3 linked regions of the Nothobranchius furzeri genome follow. The protein of the gene in region 1 purifies or fractionates together with the protein of each later gene. This does not show direct contact. Links are inferred from orthologs where the notes say so. Each region holds a gene or a part of one and is shown in the gene's direction. Other genes may lie near its edges.

Region 1 (8,216 bases):
CCACTGCTGCACCCCGCTTGGCTATCCGGTACCTGTCTGCTGCCTCTGGAGACCCACAGACCAGCCACGCCCTGTAGGCCTCCTTCTTCAGCCTGACGGCTCCCCGAACCTCTGGTGTCCACCAGCGGGTAAGGGGGTTGCCACCACGACTGGCACCGGCCACCTTACGACCACAGCTAGCAACAGCCGCCTCGACAATCGCAGAGTGGAACAAGGCCCACTCGGACTCAATGTCCCCCACTGCTCTCGGGACGTGGTCAAAGCTCTGCCGGAGGTGGGAGTTGAAGACCGTCTTGACAGGTTCTTCTGCCAGGCGTTCCCAGCAGACCCTCACTATGCGTTTGGGTCTGCCAGGTCTACGCGGCATGTTCCCTTGCCATCTGATCCAACTCACCACCAGGTGGTGATCAGTTGACAGCTCCGCCCCTCTCTTCACTCGGGTGTCCAAAACATACGGCCGCAGGTCAGATGATATGACTACAAAATCTATCATCGACCTGTGACCTAGGCTGCCCTGGTACCAAGTGTACCGGTGGGCATCCTTATGTTCGAACATGGTGTTCGTTATGGCCAAACTGCGGCTTGCACAGAAGTCCAATAACAAAACACCGCTCGAGTTCTGATTAGGTGGGCCGTTCCTCCCAATCACACCCCTCCAGGTCAAGCTGTCATTGCCCACGTGAGCATTGAAGTCCCCCAGCAGGACAATGGAGTCCCCTGATGGAGCACTATCTAGCACTCGTCCCAGGGACTCCAAAAAGGGTGGGTACTCTGAACTGATATTTGGCCCATAAGCACAAACAACAGTCAGGACCCGTTCCCCGACCCGAAGGCGCAAGGAAGCTACCCTCTTGTCCCCCGGGGTAAACCCCAACACACAGGCAGAGAGTCTCGGGGCTAACAAAAAGCCAACCCCAGCCCTCCGCCTCTCACCCGGAGCAACTCCAGCAAAGTAGAGTGTCCAACCCCTCTCCAGGTCTCGGGTTCCAGAGCCAATGCAATGTGTCGAGGTGAGTCCGACTATATCTAGCCGGTACCGCTCAACCTCTGCCACAAGCTCCGGCTCCTTCCCCGCCAGCGAGGTGACGTTCCATGTCCCAGAAACTAGTTTTCTTGTCCGGGGATTGGACCGCCAAGGCTCCCGCCTTGGTCTGCCACCCGATTCGCATTGCACCGGACCCTTCATGTTCCTCCTGCGGGTGGTGGGTCCACAGTTGGACGAGCCCATGTATCCGGTTCGGGCTGGGCCCGGCCGGGCCCCATGGGCGAAAGCCCGGCCACCAGGCGCTCGCTCACGGGCCCCAACCCCAGGCCTGGCTCCAGGGAGGGACCCCGGTAACCCTCCGGGCCGGGTACTCCGACTCTTCGTTTTAACCGCCATGAAAGATCCTTCGAACCGTTCTTTGTCTCACCCTTCACCTAAGACCAATTTGTCATGGGAGACCCTACCAGGGGCACTAAGTGCCCCAGACAACATAGCTCCTAGGATCATTAGGGCACTCAAACTCCTCCACCACGATAAGGTGACGGTTCAAGGAGGAGTTTTGATTGTTAGTAATAAATCTTTAAACCTTTAAACTTGACTCTCTCCTGTTGTCTCTGAGTGAATACGAAGCTGATATCTAATCTGTAATAAAAAGTTCCAATCTTCTGGTTAAAATAACCCAACAGATCCATAAGGTTGATTTCATATTTCCTATGGAATCCTACGTCTTATGGCTTATTAAATAACATGTAATTTAAATTAATTACAGTAATGACACACCTCCCAAGGCTGTTTTTCGATGCATTTTGCTAATAATGTTGCCAGGTTAAACCAGATTGCTTTTAACAGTGATGGCACATCTCCCACGGCCGTTTTTTTTATGTGTTTTGCTAATAATTTCGCCATGGTAAACCAGATTGCTTAAAACAGTAACGACACCCCTCCCATGGGCGTTTTTTGATGTGTTTTGCTAATATTGTTGCCACGATAAACCACATTGTTTAAAACAGTAACGACACACCTCCCAAGGCTGTTTTTCAATGTGTTTTGCTAATAATGTTGCCACGGTAAACCAGATTGCTTAAAACAGTAATGACACACCTCCCACTGCCGTTTTCGATGCGTTTTGCTTATCATTTTGCCAGGATAAACCAGATTGCTTGTAACAGTAATGGCAAATTTTCTTCATGTTTATGTGGAAACCTTTGTGGTGAGCAGCAGAGGATGACCTTCCATGTAAAAACAAATAACGTGATAAATCTTCCTTTCTGGCACCCTAAATATGTGTCTGTGTGAAAGATTTCCTGCTAACGCCATGCAGAAATGTCACAGTTGGTGTTTACGTTTTTGATATATTCATCATGAAGCCCCAACTTCCCCTATGTTTTTGGCTGTTCCTGCAACCAAAACTATTTATTATCACCTAGTTTTTTCATTAAACAAGTAAAAAAATTCCTGAAGCGCGTCCACAAAAAGACTTTCTGGTTTTTTGGGACAATTTGGGAACTAAATGTGCCTGTCACGTAGCATTTAAAGCATTCTGTAATAGCTTCCACTAGGGACTTTGTAAACTGATCCATGTCTGTGGTTGTAAAGATTTGTAAATCACACAGGTTTTTAAAGATATACTGATGAAGGTTTTCAAACAATTTAGGCTGGATTTTAAATTTTAACATGCAAGCTTCTAACCATAGTCTTTTATAAATGATTTCCCAGATTGCTTCCACCTCTTCTGCAGTGACACATTTTTCGATTTCCTGAAAAGCTCTAAAAATGACCATTTTAATTAAAATACTTATTGACGTTTGACACTTTAATTGTCTTTTTCTTCGTTCTCTATTAAACCTTTCTCGAGAACGCCAGCTTGATGGTAGGTAATCGCCTGCTGTTCTTCTAAAAAGCTGTGTAACATTAGGTTGAATAGATCTCTCTGACAAGTTAAACTTTAAATCTGTGTCTGCCATTTTAAGGACTTATAAAATTATGCTTTTCAACAGTTGAGATCAAAGGATTAAGGTCGCACCAATAATGACGTATCAAACGAATGTTCGTGACGACATACACAACAATAGAACGCGTAGTCCTTAAGCCCCGCCCTTCTTGACTGACAGCTAACGTGTCTGCGTCATAGACCGTAGGTCTGCGTGCGCACGTGACTGTGTGCGCGCGCAGGTAAATGGACGAATGTGACAGCTTCAAAGGGTCTGATTCCCAGTGCTTTTGATTTCAGAAAAAAGCACCAAGGAGGCTTCTAGTGACAGATACTGCATAGGCGTCATTTTAACCCCGGACGCCAGCAAAATTTGTGATTGGCAGCTGTGCCCCCCCCTCCCCCAAAAGCCTGCCGATGGGGATTTTTTTTTTTTTACCAGCTCAGATCTTATACCTACCTCTGCTCCCAGCAGATAGTCTATAATATACTTTATAAATGTCGCAACTGGCATCTAATTATTTATACTTGAGCTTTAAATAAAAATAAAACCGTAATCAATTTAGATTAATTTGTAACATTTCTAAAAAACCGCCCTGCTGTTGCTGTGTACTGTACCATGCTATCCTGCAAGCAGGGGTCAGCAGTTGTGATAAACAGGAGAGCACGTCACCCACACAGCTCAAGAATCCCTTATTCTTCTTTAGCTCCAAGAGGTAAGCAATGTTATATTTTATTAAACACCAAAAGAAGGTGATATTTTAATGTGATTAATGCAGGGGTCCTTCAGGCATGCATACGGCCACCTCAGCTGTTAGCGTGTAGCTGGTGGAGGTGAGTACACATGAGCAGAATTATATGTTGTTAATAAGTCGATTTTAAGTTGAGTTAAGTAGCTTTTGTGACTTGTTTCTGACATGTGAGGGCTCTTGGGAGTGTTCTGTGAGAAGTTTAGCTGTAGCTTTAAAAAGAAAAGCAAGTTATATGGGTGATAATGCTTCGATTAGCGTGTTGCTAATAGAAGCTAACTTCTCGTGAGTGAGTGTTAAGTTACTTAGCTGTCTTTTTAACCTGAACAGAATGTGATGCTGGATAACACACATTAGCCACGTTTACATGTGCAAAATCTCCTCTATCTGATTAAAATCTTGGCTGTTCAGAAATCCCAAATATCTGTTTACATGGACACTAATTTATGCACCAAGCATTCAATTTGAATAAATAGGTTGAGCATGCGCAGAGAGTTGTCTTTCCCGGAAAAAAATGGTAAACAAACGCCATGAAACGAAATGAAAAATGTAATGGGCAGAATTTTTGATCTGATTGGGTGTTCAATCCAATTACTTGTGCCCATGTAAACGTGGCTAGTGATGGAAATTGTGTGCTCTGTTATACCCATCGACATATAAATATTGGATAATGGGTTTCCATAGGCTCCAATAACACATTTTTGAAGATAAATGGGAGGTGGCCACCACCGCCTCTTTGACCGTGTCACAGGTTCCGTCAAGCCCAGACAATTCCACAAAAGGGAAGAGAGGTGGAGCTGAGGGTGGGGCTGTAAAGCTTGGTTTATGCTTGATGCATTCACTTTCCACTTGGTGATGCGGCTCGCGGATGGAACGCGCTTCACAACTCGCAGCGTTTATGGTTCATGCGGCTTGTCTCTGCGGTGAGCCAATATTCTCCCAAACTGTAGGGGGCAGCATGGAGCTCTACGGCATGCATCCAACACTACACCATAGTAGAAGTAGAAATGACTGTTGTTTACAACATGGCATTCCAGCATTTTTTAACAGCGTCCTCGTCTTTTCCGACAGTGCGAGCTATTTCTCTCCAAGAATTATTAACAACATGTTGATCACGGTGATCTCTGAGAGCTGAATCATACAAATGTTTTTCCGTGTCCGACCGTCCGCGTGATTAGAAAACTTCCTAGGTGCGCGGTGCGGAAATTTCGGGCCGTGCGGAGACGTGGTGGAGGGGCGTGGTTGTTAAAATGACGCAATTTCACCGCGCTGAGCCGTGCGGACCGCGCGGACGCGTCAAGCATAAACCAACCTTAAGGCTGGGATCAACTGATGACACCCGGTCGAACTAGCTACAAGCTAACCCAAAGCTAACGCGGAGGTGGGAGCTAAGCTAACTGAGGTAGCAACGTAGCTACAACTGGAGTTAAATGTGCACAACACCAGAGCTTCTGAGTCAGAGATACGCCGGGCTGACCGCTGGGTAAAACCGGGTGGAACACAGAGGTCTCCGAGACCTCCACAAGCTGGTAGCCGCACAGCAGACTAGCGCCGCTGCGATCTGAGATGCGCAGAGCTGCCGCTGGGGAGAACCGGGTGGAAAGGTTTCCATCCCAGAGCTCCACAAGCCGATAGTGGGAACCCAGCTCCACCAACATGTTATATTTCAACCCATTTTCTAAAGTGCAGCATTATGTTAAATGCACTGGGTTTTACCCTATTACATTTAAATTTCATGGTTAAACAGTACATGTTAAAATCTAAGCTCAGCTCGGCAGTGACCTAAAATACATAAATATAATTTTACTTACCGAAAAAAATGAAGTGGAGACTCCTTGGATGCTCTATTAGTGCAATTAATGCCACAGCAAGTCATTTTGTCCAACAATTGCACAAAAAATATCCAAACAAGAATACACAAACAGAGACTCAAAATCCCGGAGCAGTTTCCAGGCCAGACCGAGGCTCTACTGAGGCCTTTCCACTGAGCTAGCTCTGCGGTCACGTGGGTCTGATGCTCATTAATTATACAGAATTTTAGGCTTTTAATACACTTAAACAGAAGAGTGAGAAAAACATTCACCCCCCTCAGAGTTGTCATGAGTGTAAACTAGATCATTTAAACCTAAAACATGTTCTGGTACAAGGCTGTAAACATGTTTATTTCTGCTGTGAAATTGGTATTTTTAACATGGGAGTCAATGAGGATTTGCTCGCTTCTGACACCAGCCCCTAGTGGATGAGGGTGGAACTGCAATTTTTGTCACTTCCGCGTTGGCCTCAATTTTTCACCCGCATTGGGGGGCGTGGTTATACCAGGAAGGCTCGATGTATGAATGTTGTTGAAGAAAAATGTATTTGTGTTACAAGTGTTGTTAGCAACTTTTGGTTATCCACCATAATCTGTTTTTATGTAAATTGTGGAAAAATAAACTTGAATAGTAATAATAATAACCACTATACAATCACGCAGTACAGTGACACATAAGTTGGTGGAGACCCCTGTGTGAGGCTGGATAACACACATTGATGGAAATTGCGTGTGTTCTGTTGGACCAGATTGCTGCCAATAAAAGCATGTTGAAGAATAATCTGGTGCCATAATCTGCTTTTTGGTGAATGTGGAGCACAAGAGTGATGACACAAATTGTCCAGACCACATCTACTGAACAGGTCAGAAGGTGATCCGTTACATTAGCCGCTCTCCCTTTATTTTGTTTGGATGCCTTGATGAGTCTTTTGAAGCTTAAAATAATATGAAGGATTCTTTAGTCAAAGATGGATCAGTTAACTGTTTTATCAACAGAACAAAAAGGAAAAGGGAAATAACCATTAGGTTTGAATGCACACAAATACAGATTGTGAACACACTGAGAACAGTAGAACAGTTAAATTAAATTTAGCTAAAAAAACAATTGGTAAACCAATATTAAATGCATATTGGACTTGATGTTCGAACTGTAATCTTAATAACTAATGCTGTTTGAGTGTGTTTGAGACAGTAAACAAGTGGATTGTGTATGCTTTATGTATTTTTCCAAGTCAGGTGGAGAGTTAATGGTGGCCAAAGATGTACACCCATCTCTCAGATGTACCAATGAAAGCTGCGGCTATTTCTCTTTTGTCTAGCCCAGGGGTCGGCAACCTGTTCCCAGCAAAGAGCCATTATTACCCGTTTCCCACAGTAAAGAAAACACTGGGAGCCACAGCAGCCGCGGCGTTGTGGGCGGGGCCTACCCTCAGACAGCAGAGAGCTGCTTTAACCAATCACAAAAGGTGACAGCAGCCAGTACCGGTCGCTCGTGTAGAAAACTTTTTTTCCGGCTCCCCTGGATGTGTAGGATATCCAGCTCCCCCATAATTCGATCCCTGCTCCTGGATGAAAAACCGGACATTTTCATCAATACAAGAACCCCCCCACCCCCCGGGACAGAGAGCGAAAAGTGGACATGTCCGGGGAAAAGAGGACGCATGTTCACCCTAGTTTAATATAAAGCGGGAGATTACAGATGCAGTACTTTGCTCGTGCCCTTGCTGCCCTGGGCCCTTTAGAGTTCGAGGGCCCTGGGCAATTGCCCAGTTGCCCATATGGTTAATCCGGCCTTGCCTACAGCGGTACATTTCCACACACACACACACACACACACCATAAAGCCCCAAACTAAAAGAATCCCTTACCTGTAGAAATAATCCTCCGTGCACCCAGTGTACAGCTCCGACACGCTGCCCCACCTGTCTGTCAGGACGCCAGGTAAACGCTCTCGCTCAGCTGGACACAATTGGGGCTTTTAAAGAGCCAGCATGATTACACGGGGAGGCAGAGCGCAACGATCATAGAGAACAATGGCCATCCGTCACACAATGTCAAAATGAGGCTCAGTGTGTGTGTAGCCTTCATGTGCATGTATGACCTTCCTGATGGTGGTTGGAGCGTTCGGCAGGCCTCACCTCTGTCAGTGCGCCCCATGGCAGCTACATCGTAGCTCATCCCCACCAGTGTGTGCATGTGTGTGTGAATGGGTGAATGACTGATTGTGTTGTAAGGTGCCTTGGGGGGGTTGTAGAACCCTAAAAATATGCTATACAAATACAGGCCATTTACCATCTACAACACCTGGGCATGCTCCTGATGAGGTGGCTGATGGTTTCCTGAGGGATCTCTTGCCAGACCTGGACTAAAGCATCCGCCAACTGCTGGACAGTCTGTGGCGTTGGTGGCTGGAGTGAGACATGATGTCCCTGGTGTGCTCAGTTGGATTCAGGTCTGGGGAATGGGTGGGCCTGTCCATAGCATCAATGGCTACATCTAGCAGGAACATCTGACACACTCCAGCCACATCAGAATCAGAAGGGTTTTATTGCCATATGTGCATGAAATCACAACGTGAGATGTGTTGACTAATAATTTGTTTGTTTATTTATTTTTACTATAAAGCTTTAGAACATTTTTGGGTTTGTTTAAGTGGTTGAAACGTGTGGAGGCAGCATTAACCTGTAGGGAGCAGCAAAGTGCCTTGTGGTGGTTCGCACTAACAACAAGAGAAGAAGAAGA
Region 2 (8,131 bases), on another chromosome or scaffold:
AATTAAGTTGGCCTTAAGCTCTTTGCAAAATAAAAAAAAGTGCCTTGCGCTTTATGATGTTTTTCAACCCTTTAACATTCAAAGAAGTAAACAAAACTGACATACCAAACAAAACAAATGGCTAGGAATGTTACCTAGTTTATCCGCTCTGGATTTATCCAAACAGCAGGAATGAGCAATATTGTCCAACTAGATTATAGCTCATCCAAAACCTCCACCTTTAACAATCAGAAGATAAAAAACATTGGGCTGTTTGGTCTGGTGAGATCTCATTCTCAAAATAGCAGCCCATCTTAACAGAGGAACAGTATATTAGAAAAAAAGTGTGTTGGGCCTTTCCTGAATATTGAAATGTATCATATTTCTAACAAATATAGACCTTCCTCCCATCGATGATTGCGTATCCGTCCTTCAAGAAGGCCTTCTTTCCACGTCGTCTGGCTTCCTCCACCTGGGGCCACAGCTTCTCCCTCACCTCCCGATCCTCTTTGGAGAAGTCCATTTTAAAGATGATCTTCTCCTTGCATACTCTGGCCTCTTTCGACATCTTCCACACTTCTTCCTTCATCGTACGTGACACAAACTGAATGATAATGGGCCTTGGCCTGGTATTCATTGCATCTTTTTTTCCCAAACGGTGAACGGTGTCCACATTCCTGCAGAGCTCGTCGACAGACACGGGGACCACTCTTATGAGTATGCCAATAACTTCCTCTCTGATTTTCTCTTCCTCTTTTTCAGCTAATCCAAGAAGCCTGAGGTTCCATCTCCTCTTGTACCTCTCAGCTTCCAGTACCTTCTCTTTCAGAGCTTTATTTTCGACACCCAGAAACTCAACTTGTTTTTGTAGTTTAGTGATGTTTTCTTTGTTTACATTTGTTTCTTTCTTCGTGTCTTCTGTGCTTTTTTCAATGTTTTGTAGTTTGATTTCTAGAGCATCCAACTTTTTTAGAGCTTCTTGAACATTGTTCATTCTCACTTCAATGTTCTCCAACTTCCCGTCCAGCCCGTCAAATTTTTTGATCGGGATCTCCATCATTTGCACAAGATTATTTGTACTCTCCTCTCTTGCCTTCACACTTCTCTTCCTCAGCTTTTTGGGTTGTGGACTGTTCATATCAGTTTGACTGTCCTCGAGATTTTTATCAGCTTGCTCCACACTTTGGGGTTCGTTTTCACTCATATCATCCATCACAGCAATGCCATAATTATGATCAACGATGCTAGCTTCGCCACGTTGTTCCATCTTTCACTCTCTCACACCGTAATTAGCTCTTCAAAAAGTTCCTCAGTTTGTAAAAAAAACGAATGAAAGTCTCTTCCAATATGTTATGGCTTTTTTTTTTTTTACCTTTAAGCAACGTTTGGACTTGAAAAAAACTGTTTTCCCTTTGCATCCTGCTATGGACCAACTGCTCACTCCGCCATCTTGTCGCCTCCCCCTGCAAGGCAAGAATTTGGTGTAGTTCACTATAGCACACTCATCTAAGCTGCTAGCTTAATTCCATTGACAGTTTTGGGGAATTCAAGTGAACCGTTAACTTTGATTTATGAACCAATTAACTAATAACATTTACAGGTATTATAATTAGGCTGTAATTATAATTGTACGAAATTACAACAACTTCTGTTTAAAAACATATATACTGATTTAATAAAGAAATAATGTAATCCCATGATGTGACCTGTGGGTCACCAGGTCACAACAGAAAGTGCTACCGTACTTTGTTGTTCTCATGCATTATTATTGCAACACTACTTTAAAACTGTTGACTTCTGATGAATATTTAGTGGTATTACACACAAATTTAAAAAAAATTTCAATGTGTTATTGTTTCTTTCATAATATTTGGGTTAAATGTATTACCCTCAAGGTTTCACCAAAAATTTATACATATTTTTTGAATAACTGCGGTAAAAATGTCACTTGGTAAGTTTTAGCTTTTACTCCAAACAATTAACATTGTTTAATTTTTACAACATAATTCTGGTTTGTGGTAAGGGCTCAAAAAAGAATAATGTCAGCCTCTTGTGGTGATGAAATGACATTACAAAAATGCATAAATATTTTTTCCAGTATTTGGGTTAAATGTACACTATTTTTACCACTCGTAATAGTTATTAACTTTGGCTCTAAATGAGTAATTTTTTGTTTTAAAAACATAATTCTGGCTTATAGTAAGTGTTATCTGATGGATGACGGCAATTAACTAAAAGAAATCTGTTCAGTCGATATTACAATCAACTTCTTGTCAAAAGTTCACCAAGATTTATTTCTAATTATGGGCATGAATTTTCACTGAGCAAGTTTTACGTATGGTTCTAAACAATTAACAATTTTTTAGTTTTTAGACACATTTGTGAGTGCCGTTTAATGAATGAACACAATTCTCAAAAGAATATTGACAAAAAGTGGTCTTACGCAACATTTAATCAAAATTTCATTAGGATTTTTTTCTCAATATTGAAGGAAAATTTTTCCCTTAAGAAGCTTTAACTTTTGTTCTAGATAGTTACAGTATCAAGTTTTATTTGTAAAACATATTTCATAAAAGAAATAAATAGGCACACTGCACATCATTCAAATGACAGCCAGCGCTCAACAGCTGGCACTGACAACTGAGAAGTAGAAAAAGGCGGCTGGAGCACTCAGATCAAATTAAGTATATTTAATGTGTGTAAGTAAAAAGAAAACTCTCGTCCTCCTGTAGTGGTAAAGTGGTGTGACACTGAACGTCACCATACTACGTTAAGAGAAAACATAAAATATCTGTTTTGTTATTAAATTAAATGTAAAATGTAGATACATGGAAATAAATTTTGTTCCAGTTTTATCAAGTTATTTTTTAATTTGTTGCTCATAATTAATTGGCGTGTTTTTACATAGTAAAAAGTGATTACATGACGCATTGTGCCTTTGAGAGTTTAAATCTGCCTTAATATCAATTTATTTATCTCTTATAGGCTATAAATTATTCTACACATCAAACCCTATTAGGGCCTCTGGCAATAAAACACTATTCTCATTTTGATTCTGATTCAGATGAACATTTGCACTTTTTAAGCTACGTAAATTTGCATTTAAATGTATTTAATTTAATTTTATACAGCATAATAATCGACCAACTTGTACCTGGGAGTACTGTAAACGGTGCCTCTTTTGTCCAACAGGGGGCGCGCTCGGTTCCACTCCATACTCCGACCTTAGCGGGATTCAAGAATCCTCAATCACTTCCGGGTTCATACACATTTGCAAAGGGGTTGAATATGATTCTATGAAGTAATAGATACATAATTTATCAAAGTTCTTCCCTGTAAGGGTTAGATTGTGCTTATATTATTGAAATTTTACACATTGTTGCTGCTGTTAGCTGTTGGAGCAGCGAGTGGTTTTGGCTGAAGATGTCTGCGGAGGAAGCGGACAAAACGACCACCACAGATGCCAGCGCAGGTGATGAAGAGGAAGAATGGCTCTATGGAGGTAAAATAACAATCCAACACCGCATCTCCACGCCGACACATACAGATATAAATATGTTTGATGCTCTGTCTATGACGATTTATCTACGAGTAATGAGGAGATGGGAGCATTAGCCGATAAGCTAACTAGCACCGCTCGTGTGTCGGCCTTCAGCAACAGCGGCATGCTTTTGAACAAAGTTAAAGACGCATAACACAGACAGTCATCTATTTAGTTCACTGTTTTCACTGTGATTAAATGAAGTAAAATCCCAATGACTCAACAGGTAAAACTTTACACGAAGTGCTTATTATTAAAGGGCTAAAAGTTTCATGTTTATGTTTTAGATGAATCAGAAAGTAAAGAAGAGGAGGAAGAAGCCAAACTGATCGCTGCTACCAGGTAACAACCACTCCCACCACCTTTAATCTAATGATCTGTAAAACATTAGACTTGCTTAAAACTCACACAATAGTTTTAAACGAGGATAAAACAAAAATCCGGGCATAAATACAAGCGGAGAGGTGCTGGTTGGTGGATTTGGGCTAAGCCAGGCAGCACTGAGTCGTCTACAGTTGGTTCAGAACTTTGTGGCCAAATTTCTGACAGGGACAAGGAGGTCGGCACACATCACTCCTGTGCTGGTCTTATTACATTGGCTCCCTGTAGGTTTTCGGGCTAAGTTTAAAGTTATGTGCTATGTCTTCAGTCTCTTTATGGTGGTGCTCCACCTTACTTGGCAGCATTAATAAAAAAAGACGTACCCCATCACAGCCTCTACGTTCGGCTGAGCTGGAGCTACTGACTGTCCCACAAACTAGGTACAGGTCTAGAGGTGATTGGTAGGGTTGGGCATCGTTTGATTTTGAACAATTCCAATTTCAATTCCTCGTTTTGATTCCGGTTCCTGTTGATTCCGATTCTTTCAAGACATGACATGTTTTACATGAGCCAGCTAACCACAGGTCCTACTTGATGAAATTATCTTAACCTCAACATGATTTTTAATTCTATGAACAACAACATCACCTTCATTTAGACAAAAACATGTTTTGGAGAACAAAAGAAAAAGACTTGCAGCACAACCAGTGTGTTTGTTTCTGACCACAACCAAAGTCTGGAAGAAGCCTCTAGGATGAGAGGCTAAATGTCTCCAACATATCCAGAAACGTCCAGCTGTCTTCAGCTGAAGCTCTCAGGATGATCATGTCCAGGATGACTGAGAACCACACCTCCATGCTGCAGCAGCATTCAGTCAGAACAGGAAGTGAAACTTAAACGTAGCTGCTGTCAGTAACAATCTAACAGATTTAAACATTAAAACTCAACAGAAATAGTTCAGAAAGGAAATTTCACAACTTTGTGTGTGATTTATTATTATTATTATTATTATAATTATTTATTGTGGCAGAAGCTGGTGTGGTCCACCACGGAGAAGCTGCTCTAGCATGATGACTTTAATTATTCTACAGGTTATTGTTCAGCCTTCTGATGCTCACGCTCACACACACACACACACACACACACACACACACACACACACACACACACACACACACACACACACACACACACAGAGTGTTGTTGAGCGGCTGACGCTCCGTGTGTGTTATTTCTGCAGAGTTTGTTCTTTAAAGCTTCTATTAAATCCACCGTGTTGACGTATTTAACAAGTTTCCTCTACGCTGCAGGAGTTAAAGTTACATTACGGAGTAAAAGTTCGGTGGACGTGTTTGTTTATATCCGGGGGGGGGGCTCGGTGCTGCACACAGACAGCTGCTGTGATCAGCTCTGAAAAGTGTTGATCACAATTTGCAGATCACGTTTATTTTTCACGGAGGTCGGTCGCGGATTCTTCTGGTTGGCATTCTAGGAATCGAAATAAAAACTTTGAACGATTCCGGGAAAAACTTAACAGTTGATCCCGGTTCCAATCGATGCTCGATGCCCAACCCTAGGATCGGACTTTCTCAGTCTTGGCTCCTTCTCTCTGGAATGAGCTTCCATTTGATATAAAACGATCACCTTTGCTGCAGGTTTTTAAGAGTCGTTTGATGACTCATTTTTATCATTTGGCTTTTATATGACCTGGTTGTATGCGATTATGTCTGTATGTTGTTTTTACCTCGTTTTTATTGCTATCTGTGTTTTTACTGTATTTAATGTCAGCAGCTTGGGCTCCTGCAAAGGCAGTGGAAGCTGCTATACAAATAAAGATTGATGGATTGATTTGCCACAACTAAAGATGTCTGACTCAATAGGTTGTTGTGTGTACTGAGCATCTATGACAGCACGACGAGGGCGGTTTCAGTATGAATTCTGATTGAACAACAAAGTGTTTGTACATTTAACCAACAGCTTACCCACTGACATAACAACAGAAGAGGCTGTTGCAGAGGCTACAGGAAACGGCGTGGCCTCTGAGGTAGGTAATCTTTGCATTTCTTATATTTTTGTCCTTTTTGTGTTTGTTTTCTGATCGATGATGATCTTTTATCTCATTTGCTTGTTTTGTCTGAACTCTCAGGCCACAGGGGAAGCTGCCGGTGAGGATGTGGACAGTGACAGCGACAGCGATGACGACGACGACGATGTCCGTGTGACCATCGGTGACATAAAAACTGGAGCACCACAATACCCGTAGGCTTTAATCGTGTTTTAAAAACGACTCCCATTTCAGCACTTTTGTCATTTTTTTCTGCCTCTTTATTTCGACATGAACAAAAAAAGCCAAATGTGAAGCAAGAAAGGGAAAGAAGATCTAATTTAAAACAAAAAACTTGATCAATCAGTTTTAATGGATGAAGTCAGCGTGAGAAAACAGTTTTTCTACATCACTGTCGACTCGTTTTTTTTCCCAGGACGTATGGAGCGCCTCCAGTCAACCTCAACATAAAGTCGACCAGCTCCAGACCTTACGGACAAGGTGTCACTTCCTGTTTGTTGCATCAGTGTTCACATTTGACGGTTTAACCTTACATGAAGTAAATCTCAGTTGCACTTTTACTTTTGCGAACGTAACTAGTAATGTGTTTTCATTTCCAGTGACCACAAAGCTAAAGGGAGTGGATCTGGATGCTCCTGGAAACATCAACGGTGTTCCTGTGCTGGAAGTAGACATGGAGTCCTTTGAGGAGAAACCCTGGAGGAAGCCAGGTCTGCTGTGTGTTGGTGTCTGTTTTTTAGACAAAATCCTTTGAGACAAGCAACATGTTCTCAGAAGTTCTTGAAACTGATTCGCTAAATAAAATGTTTCCGGGCTCCAACTGTAGTCTGTGAGTGTGTGTTTCATAGCGAGTGTGTGTTTCTGTGTGTAGGAGCGGATCTTTCTGACTATTTCAATTACGGGTTCAATGAAGACACCTGGAAGGCGTACTGTGAGAAGCAGAAGAGGCTGAGAATGGGCCTGGAGGTCTCTACGGTTGGATCAGTGATGAGCAAGATCACTGTATGAAACCATCTAGTATCTTCTCACAACACCTGTACAGTTAGAAAGAACTCGTGTTAAAACGTTTTCTCCCTCGCTACCTGCTATAAAACAATCATTGTGTCTGTTTCCTTAGGTTCAGCAGGGCAGGACGGGGAATGAAAAGGACGTGTCCAGCTTGTCCGTTCACGCTGCCAAGACAGACTTCACCTCTCCCGTCAGCCTGCACAAGTCTGCCATCAACCAGTTCACCAGGTGACTCCAGCTTCTGCTCATCTCGTTCCGTATCCTGAGTAAAACGCACACGGGCAGATCGCGCCGCAGCTCTTTTACTCCCATCCTGGTTGGTCTACCTGAGGACAACAGTTGTGTCCCTGTGGAAATACTTGAGCCATTTCAGTAAAAGGACTGAGGGTAGATGAGCTCCTGGGGATGGGTACAGAATTCGGTACTTTTTAAGGTACCGACCGAATTCCATAGTACCGACCGAGCACCGATTCACGTCATTTGAAACGGTGCCTCGTTTCGGTACCCGTCCTTCATAACGAGAACTTGCCTAGACAGCTGCGCATGCGCAAGAGCGTTATGTTGTCGCTCGCTGCGAGCAAGTTGTAAACAGAGCAGCATGGTAGAAAGAACGCACGCTAACGCTTGGGTCCACTTCACTAAATGTGATGGGTAACTGGGTGATGATGAAACCAGCGACAACGATCTAAGTGAGACATCCTCATCTTAATCTGCTCCGGTAGGTAAATATAATTAGCTTTGATGTGTTAGCTTCCGTTTCACTAATGGTGCGTTCGCTTTCTCCTCGGAACTCCGAATTCCCGACTAGAAGAACATGAACGCGCTCTAAAGTTTGGCTTCACTTTACTAAATGTGACGGGTGATTGGGTGAAGATGAAACCAGCGACAACGATCTAAGTGTGAGGCATCATCGTTTTAATCTGCTCCAGCAGCTAAATAAACTGTTTAAGATAACGTTAGCTTGATATGTTAGCTTCCATTGCTACCAATGTTATCAGCTAATGGTGCGTTCGCTTTCTCCTGGGAAATTCTAACTTCCCAGTAGGAAAAATCAAATGAAAAAAGACGGCAAAAGGAATGAAGATACACAGTAAATTTAGTTCACAGTAAAGATGTTTGCTTCAGTTTAATTATCAGCTTATAAAACTACAAGGACGATGTTAAAATACAAACAGTTGTATGTTATTTATCGTGATATTTATCAAATATGGTTGTAT
Region 3 (8,384 bases), on another chromosome or scaffold:
GAGCCAAAAATGTGACTCATTTAAAAGTAATTTTAATTTCATCCTGACAAAAATAATAAAATAAATTAAAAAGTCCTCTCTGCACCACTAGTTGAACCGAAGTAACAACCTATCAGCAAACAGAGGAAGAATATTTCTGCTGAGATTTTCTCCATTTCAAACAGATTCAATGTTCTGTGACAACAGGTTCAGGTTAACCCTTCCACTGTCTTAATGAGTGACCCCGCCAGGAAAGTTGACCACTCAGCAGGACTGATGGTTTATCCCTTGAGGTCCACGTGGCAGGGGTGAGGTGGTGCTCACTCCTCATTCCTGCCATGTGGACCTCAAGGGATAAACCATCAGTCCTGCTGAGTGGTCAACTTTGCTGGCGGGGTCACTCATTAAGACAGTGGAAGGGTTAAAGTGCGCCTGAAGCACAAAAGCAGGTAGAAATGACTATTTGTTATTTCTACAGCAGGAAGTAACAATGAATGTGCAGCCAGCAGCTTTGTTGTCATTTCAGAAAAACCAAGAGTTTTCATCCACACGTGGGTAAACGGCATTTAAAACCTCCACTTGTGAAGGTGATTTAGGAACACAAAAAAATGGAGTTGTTTACTCTTTACTCTGATTATGTTCTCATAAACACAGGTTTCTTGTATATTTTCACTTCTGGATGATTTTTTCAGCAGTGATGTGACACGAACTCTAAATATGTAAATATGCAACTTTTTCACTCGTCTCAGAGCAAATTCTATTTACTCTAATAATTTTCTGTTTCAATTTCAAAAATGTTCAAAGCCTCAGAAACGCCCCATTAAAATGCAAGCGTTTTCTATTATTTAAAGCCTTAGTAAGAAGAAATAAATAAATCTAAAAAAAGAGACTATGAATTATGTTACCTTGTTTATAATAAAAAAATTAAATTAGCGTCTGTACTCACAAGTTTCACAGTCTCGATTTAAACAATCAGAGAAATCAGTGGGTACATCCTGGAACTTCACTGGGACATACAGGGGTTCACTCTGCAACCATGACAAGAACAATCAGCTCCAAAGCATACCAAGACTACTTGGAGTTCGGCATTAAATGCACAATTATTCAAAATTTTCTCTAAACTACATACCAAACAGTTGTTCACAGTGTTGTCGTTGGTGCAGGGTGCAAAGTAAGCCTCAGCATCTGCAAACTACAGGATAAATAGCATCAGCTTCTACAACAAAATCAAGAATTCCTTCTGTGGCTTTGTGTGATGGAGAATGGATTCTACAGGAATCAATGTGTGATGTGTGAAAAATAAAGTCAGTAACCATAAAAGAAAGTGATTTTTTTATCCTGGTGCAGGTTTATACAAACAATGAAACATTACTGTTGTAGTCTAAGGCAATATCACAAAAACCAAAACACTTCCGATCAAAGGTGTGCTGGTGAAGCTTCTCAGTCATCCAGGTCGTGATAATCCAGAAGAGTTCTAATGAAGGCAACTTGACTTCTTTGGTTTCACGAAGATGTTTGTCACTTCTCATTACAAAGTTCCTCGGATGAGAAGTAAAACGTCTTCATGAAACTGAAGAAGTCCAGTTGCCTTCATTTGAACCCTTCTGGAATATCCACCAAAGGGTTTAACTTACAAATGCAGAGTGTCTGTGTTTAAGCGTGCCAGTACACTGCTGCCTCCAGGGCCGCCACAGCAGGAACCCCAGCAGATACAGCACAAACATGGACGTCTTGGTGAAAGTGCTGAAGAAGGGTTTGTTGTATTCCTGTCGCTTGAAGATGTACTAAAGGGAGATTCAGAGAAACAAAATAATTTGTTTTATGTAAGTAAGTACATTTTATTTATATAGCACTTATCACAGACATAGAATCACAAAGTGCTTCACATAGATCAAAACAAAGTCATAAAATCAAAATGCTCTGAAAACAGAATAAGATTAACATCAGAAAAAATAGTCATAAAATCATAAAATTATATGTTGTTGGAAATCCGACACTTTTCCCACGCCAGGTTTATACTCTCCACATCTCACTTCTGATGCTACAACTAACTTTTTTGACTCCGCCTTTAAAAGCAGTTTCACAAAACTGTTTTGCTCAATCACTGTGAACATGTGTAAAGAAATCCACCCAAAACAGCAGGAGTGAAAACCGGACAAGCTGTGATAAAATCCTTACAGAGGTTAACTCAGAGGATGCTACCCAGATGACATCCACCAGCAGGAGGATCACCACCCCCAGGACCATCCGCCTCCGCTGTGCTGCAGAGCTGCTCTGAGAGCTCATCCGGTTCATGACGAACACCCACTCCATCAGGACGCTGAAAAACATCCAGGTGTCAACAGGAAGGCTTCCCTCTCTTTGATGTTTATAAATCATATATTTATTTTATATTATGATCCTGACATAAAAGAGATTTTAATTGTTAAAATGTGTTTTTAAAAATTGTATTTGGAAACAAATCTCTAAAACTTAAAAAATGAGTTGAAATACTTAGAAAATGTTTTGATTTTTAATATGACTCAAACTTAAATGAATAAAGAACACAGTTTACGCAGAACTTAATTAGGTTGAAATGTTTTGTTTTAAAATGTGATGATTTAGGTTTTCATGCAGAAAATTGTGTACGTTTGTTAAAATAAACTGATTTTGTCAGCAATGCATAGAAAATACAACAACATTGTTTATCACAGCCAGAGCATTCAGAGGACAGACTAAAAACTAATTACACTAAATGAGGAATTACATCGAACAAGCAGGAAGCTCTAAAAGAAACTGCTGTTTTCACGTCTTAGCTGTCAAACTCTTACCATCGTTTAAAAAGAATAAGATATATGCCCAAGGTCTGTAATTAAACTTCACTTTTAAACTGAACTTTTGGCCGCATTTCCACCTCATTTGTTTGGGAAAAGGATGTAAACAGAGTCGCTGTTTAGCTGCCTGTTTCACAAGCTAAGCGCTAACAAGCTCGTTGCAGTTATGCGATTAAAAGCGTAAGAAAATGTGATCTTACCTGAAAATGTGACGTAGTCATTTATTTTTTTTACCACTGTTTGATTGTCAGTTCATATTATGGTGCAATATAAACGAAATCACTGTTGTTGCAATGAAACTGTAGTCAGATCTTGGTTGTAAACATTAGCATACCCACCCCTTATCAGTCAGGTGACATCACTTACTGTGCAAAGATTTCTGGGATTTGAAGTCTTAAAAGAAAAAAACTTTGGGATCTTTGTGCCGCTCTAAATATAAAAAGATGGTCTAATGAAATTTTATTAATAACATCTAAAGGTGATTCGTGTCACTAGATTGTTGAGACTGGGATTTTAAGCATTAGTTAATCTTATGAGGCTTTTTAAAGGGACACATTCAAGTTTTAAAGTCAAACCAAGCAAGTATTTGTGCTTAAAATAGAAAGGCAATATAAAAATAAAACAGAAGATGAATTCCCTGTTTTTCTTTTTAGATTTGACTGAATATTTAATATTTTGTTTTTGCATGCTTTTCACTGTAGGTGGCGACAGTGCGCCAAGAGGTTAGAAAAAGAAGTAGGGGTACGAAGAAGAAGAACAAGAAGAAAGCGGCTTCTTTTCCGCGCTAATAGGTTTTTCCCATTTATGTAATGGAAAATATACTAAGTAAGTGCGTTTCTCTTACGGAACATATATAATTTCTACATGAACACAAAAACAGGTCTGTTAAGTGGCGTACGTTTGTCAAATAATGTTAAAGCTGCTATTGAAGTTAGCAATGCGGTTAGCATGGAGGTGCTCGCTGACTAGCATCACAGAACGAAGCTAGTAATGTTGAAATAATGTCAATTAAAGCCTTATTAATGTGCGTAGGTGGGAGGGAAGCGTTTATTGTTTTACAACTAAGTTTTCTTCTCACCGTCACTGTAATTGGTTTAGCTTAATTCATGTTTTAGTGTAAATATTGCAAACATTTTGTTTCTAGAATCTGACGTTTATTGGAGTTTTTAAAACCTTGCCGTCAGGACTGTGAGACACACAAAGCAGCAACATGGAGCTTTCTTCAGTGGAGGAGGGAACTCCCAGCGTCAACATCACCACAAGTGAAAAGGTAAATTAGACAAACACTCACGAATAGAGCATCCCCGGTACGGCACTGAACATTTCTTCATGCAACATAGTTTAAAGAGGGACACCATAGCACTGAGATCACTGTCTTGATTAATAGTCTGTAATGTCTTTTTTATTATTCAATAAGATTATTTTAATTATATTATTTTCCCCCTTCAGATTATGGGATGTACAAGTTAAATATACATGAATTAATATATTTTCTAATAATTACTGTTTCCATGTTGGTGTCGAGGCTTTAGAAAACTTTCTGTTATGCTGACTGTGATGTGGTTCCAGAATCTTACATACTGTGTTTTCCTCCAAAAGAATTTCATCTTTTCATTTTGTTTTTAATTTAAAGTTTAAATTTGTGAGTTGAATAATTTCCAATAACACCAGACTTTAACCAGCAGTCACTGGTTGTTCAAACTAGTTGTTTGTTGTTGTGTGTGAGAGTGTTTTGCTCTCCTGTACAGCACTTTGGTTAGCTGCCATGCTATTTCTAAATATACTTTATAAATAAACTGCTATGGTCTGGTAAATACATCTAGCTCAGTTTGTATTAATAAAAACAACTATTATTTTTAGGGATTTTGATTGAATTTCCTTTTTAATGAGCCTATAAATGTCAGTTCACTCTAACATACATATTGTAGATGTAGATGACCCCAACATTTAGGAAGGTTCTTCAACAGAGGCTCACATCTGTGGACTGAGGTTTAAGATTGAGTGTCTCATTATTGCCTTTAAAGCCAATGGCTATGACCAGAATCATAGTCACTTGGATGGAAAATTAAAGCAGTTTTACTCCAACTAACCCATGTCACAGTAAAGTCACCTATATCTCCGAGTATGGGGCAACTTTTGTTAAACTGCAAAAATTGTCTTTTCTAATAATAACAACTCAGTTATTTGTTTTAGTCGTGTACCAGTTGTGTTTTTACTTAAAAGTAAATCTGCTTTGAAAGAGAAATTCACTGGGTTTTCTTTTTCCTTTCAGGTTGTGGAGCTGCTGAATCAAGCTGCTCTGATGCCAACTGATGAAAAGCTAACAATTCTCAAACAGGTTTGCTGTCTAATTATTGCTGCAAGTACCAACTAAAACACACAAAAATTACAATAACTTAGAACATTCCAGATCTATGATATTTTGAATAAATAATCTGTATTCTAAAGGTTTCTCCTGCTTTTAACATGCTCAACATATAATCTGGCCCTCAATATTAGAGGTGTGAATCTTCACTTGTCTCCCGATTCGATTACGATTATTGGGTCAACGATTCAATTCGATCCGATATCCCGATGCATCACGATTATTTCATATTGATTTGTTTTCATCGATAAATAGAAGATGTCAGATAATTGCTTTTTTTTTAATCAAAAACGTAATTGATACAACCTGCCATCCCTCAAAATCTCTCCATTCACAACAGGTTAGGACAAAACATTTAAGAAGATTTAACAAAGTAAAACAATCTGTTTCCTCGTTCAACACCACGCCTCAGGCTGAGAAAACATGCTTTACAAAATCTCACAAAATCTAAAAAAGTACTGAAAACCCACAGGACACAACATAATGTAGTAATAAAATCCATAATGGGTTCATATATGAGTGTTTAATGTCTCTGAGCAGCTCTAGAGTCAAATATTTATGCTGCAGTTGAAGGGTGTCAGAAATAACACCAAATGAAATGTTTGACTTAGTTTATTTTATTTGAACCCAGTGGTTCGTTTCTGAAATGTTGGAGAATGAATCAAGTTCTGTTTGATGCAGAAAATAATAAAACATAAAACAAATTCTACACTTCCAATAATATTTAAGATGTGTGTTTTATTCTTCCTGATAATAACACCAGCAGAAGGCTGTGGGCTGGATTAGGATTAAAATACCCAGCTGATAGATCTCTTTCACTAACCAGCTAACTACAAACCTTTCCAGTAACCTGTCCTGTGTCACCCTCACCATGTAACCGTCATGTCCATGCTGTCTCTGGAGGAGCAGATATGAGACAAGTCTCCTGTAACCTAAAATGAACCAAAGCTTCCTCCCAGCTTCTCTTTAAGCTGAAGCTAACATCAGTTTATCATCATGAAACAAAAGAATAAAGTGGAACAAGAACTTCTTTCTTCTATTTCTCTCTCCTTTTAACTTCTCCGTGTCCCTAAATAAAAGAGACAGACGATCACGCTGCAGCCGCCGTCATTGACCCCGCCCCCTCCCCCGAGACCGGATCTCCCAGCATTACAACACTTGGTCTGACTGAGCGCTTCCAGGAGAAAAAAAATTAAATTATGAAAATAATAATGCGTGTTTGGAGCATCGCTTTGGAGGGGCGTCCTCCGATCCTCTCGTGTGAGCGGACAGTCTCTCTCTCTCTCTCAGTCGCTGAGAGAGCGGAGCGCGCCGCGTGACAACCCGCTCAATTAACATATTTCACGGCCCAAATCCAACAGAACCGGTCGGGCTGATTTGGTTCCGGTTCGGTCTCAGGTTACAACTCAAGCGCTCAGCCCTGCAGTACCACATTAATGCGGAACCACTTGGTAAATGTGGAGGACGCTCACTCTGACAGATTTGGATCTGTGCTGGTGCCGCCATTAAAAGAACAAAACTACATTCCACCATAATCGATTATGGCGTACTCTTCTACGATGCAGAATCGTTTATGTCCGCATCCCGATGCATCGATTATTTGATTATTTTCCTCAGCTCTACTCAATATGTGCTGGATTATAATCTATTAATCAAGATCTCTTCAGAAAAAGAAGCTGGAGTAAAACAATTTTGACAATATGAATTTATTTCAGGTTCAGGAGCTTATCATCAACAAGGATCCTTCTCTTCTTGATAATTTTTTGGATGTAAGTATGGGCACATTTAGGATTCCTCATTAAATATAACAAGACAAAAAAAGGATTATTTACTCTCCCTGAGTGAGTCTCAAAACCAAGCTGTCATGTCTCTGGATATTAGAACATGTTATATTTCAGCACACATTGTCTTTTTAACTTACTCTTATTCCCGTGTTTTAAACTGTAGGAGATCATCGCTTTCCAGACCGACAAGTCTATTGAAGTGAGAAAGTTTGTCATTGGGTTTATAGAGGAGGCCTGGTGAGTAATGAAACATCCAACATGTCCAAGCTTAACATTGATCAAAAGAAAAGCAGAACTTTCTCAACCTTTTTTTCCTGTTACTGATTTTTCCAGTAAAAGGGACAACGAGCTCCTGGTCCGACTGATCGCCAACCTGAACATGCTGCTGAAGGATGAGAGCGTTAATGTGGTGAAGAAGGCCATCCTCACCCTCACTCAGCTGTACAAAGTTACGCTACAGGTCAGCGTTCCTGTCCCTGAATTCACCAGCTCGCTCCTTACATCCTCGAGATTCTGATTTCTTTCCTCTTGACTTTCACGCCAGTGGTTGGTGCGTGTCAAAACCATATCGGATATGCAGGAGGCATGCTGGAATTTGGTTACACAAATGACCGGGGACGTTTTGATCCTACTCGACTCTGAGAATGATGGTGTTCGCACGCATGCAATCAAGTTCACAGAATCTTTAATCATCACCTTGTCACCGCGAACAGCTGAGTCTGACGTCCCCAAGCAACAGGAAGGGGGCATCAGCCTGGACAGAGTTCCCAAAGACCATTCCTACATTCGCTACGGTACACATCTTAGGATCTTACTGAGACAAAATGTAATGTTTAAAGCAATTTTGATCACTTTTGAAAGTGTCTTTTGCTGTGTGATCAAATGTACAGATACTTTGTGTGAGGAGGGGAAGACTGCACTTGAGAAGCTGCTGACGTTCATGATCCATCCAGCTATTTCCAGCATCAACCTCACCACAGCGCTGGGCTCGCTGGCAACAATCGCCCGACGGAGACCGATGTTCATGTCCAAAGTGGTCCAGGCGTTTGAGACGCTGCACGGTGAGTCTGGTTCCCAGATCCTTCCCAGGATTAGATATCTGTACGAAAACATGATCGGGTTCTCCTTTTCTTTAGATTTTTCTTCTGAGGAAACCTCAGAAGTTTTTCTTTGGAGTTTGTTTCCTTTAGTCAGTCATTTTCATTACCTTTGACCAATGAAACCCTTCAGGTATAAAAACAGCCCTAAACTCTGATGTTTTCAGACGCAACATATAATTGAATAGGTTCTCGATAGTGGAGGATGTTTTTATCATCAAACTGCAGAATATAATCGATTTATTCTTTTTTTAGCTAATCTACCTCCGACTTTGGCCAAGTCTCAAGTCAGCAGCGTTCGAAAGAATCTGAAGCTGCAGTTGTTGGCGGTCCTCAAGCATCCCTG

What was found.
Region 2: the proteins of cpsf1 (region 1) and fip1l1b fractionate together in Homo sapiens (co-fractionation; 8 studies listed by BioGRID and IntAct, with this or other methods). This does not show direct contact. The link is inferred for Nothobranchius furzeri from reciprocal best matches to the Homo sapiens genes CPSF1 and FIP1L1.
Region 3: the proteins of cpsf1 (region 1) and sympk fractionate together in Homo sapiens (co-fractionation; 5 studies listed by BioGRID and IntAct, with this or other methods). This does not show direct contact. The link is inferred for Nothobranchius furzeri from reciprocal best matches to the Homo sapiens genes CPSF1 and SYMPK.

What each region holds. Positions count from the first base shown.
Region 1 is NC_091751.1:1,599,315-1,607,530, forward strand, and holds the start of cpsf1 (cleavage and polyadenylation specificity factor subunit 1), read left to right. Parts: upstream 1-3,508; 5' UTR 3,509-3,631; intron 3,632-3,704; exon of another isoform or gene 3,705-3,749; intron 3,750-5,629; exon of another isoform or gene 5,630-6,337; intron 6,338-7,879; exon of another isoform or gene 7,880-8,216. UniProt on the Homo sapiens protein: Component of the cleavage and polyadenylation specificity factor (CPSF) complex that plays a key role in pre-mRNA 3'-end formation, recognizing the AAUAAA signal sequence and interacting with poly(A) polymerase and other factors to bring about cleavage and poly(A) addition.
Region 2 is NC_091747.1:75,987,826-75,995,956, reverse strand, and holds the start of fip1l1b (pre-mRNA 3'-end-processing factor FIP1), read left to right. Parts: upstream 1-3,247; 5' UTR 3,248-3,402; coding exon 3,403-3,481; intron 3,482-3,807; coding exon 3,808-3,862; intron 3,863-5,818; coding exon 5,819-5,885; intron 5,886-5,987; coding exon 5,988-6,100; intron 6,101-6,321; coding exon 6,322-6,386; intron 6,387-6,505; coding exon 6,506-6,616; intron 6,617-6,777; coding exon 6,778-6,908; intron 6,909-7,023; coding exon 7,024-7,142; intron 7,143-8,131.
Region 3 is NC_091747.1:24,058,213-24,066,596, reverse strand, and holds the start of sympk (symplekin), read left to right. Parts: upstream 1-3,488; 5' UTR 3,489-3,617; intron 3,618-3,936; 5' UTR 3,937-4,002; coding exon 4,003-4,062; intron 4,063-5,064; coding exon 5,065-5,130; intron 5,131-6,872; coding exon 6,873-6,926; intron 6,927-7,104; coding exon 7,105-7,178; intron 7,179-7,274; coding exon 7,275-7,401; intron 7,402-7,485; coding exon 7,486-7,735; intron 7,736-7,831; coding exon 7,832-8,002; intron 8,003-8,293; coding exon 8,294-8,384. Other genes in the region: solute carrier family 35 member F5, read right to left, coding at 926-1,007, 1,109-1,171, 1,614-1,763, 2,158-2,292. UniProt on the Homo sapiens protein: Scaffold protein that functions as a component of a multimolecular complex involved in histone mRNA 3'-end processing. Specific component of the tight junction (TJ) plaque, but might not be an exclusively junctional component. May have a house-keeping rule.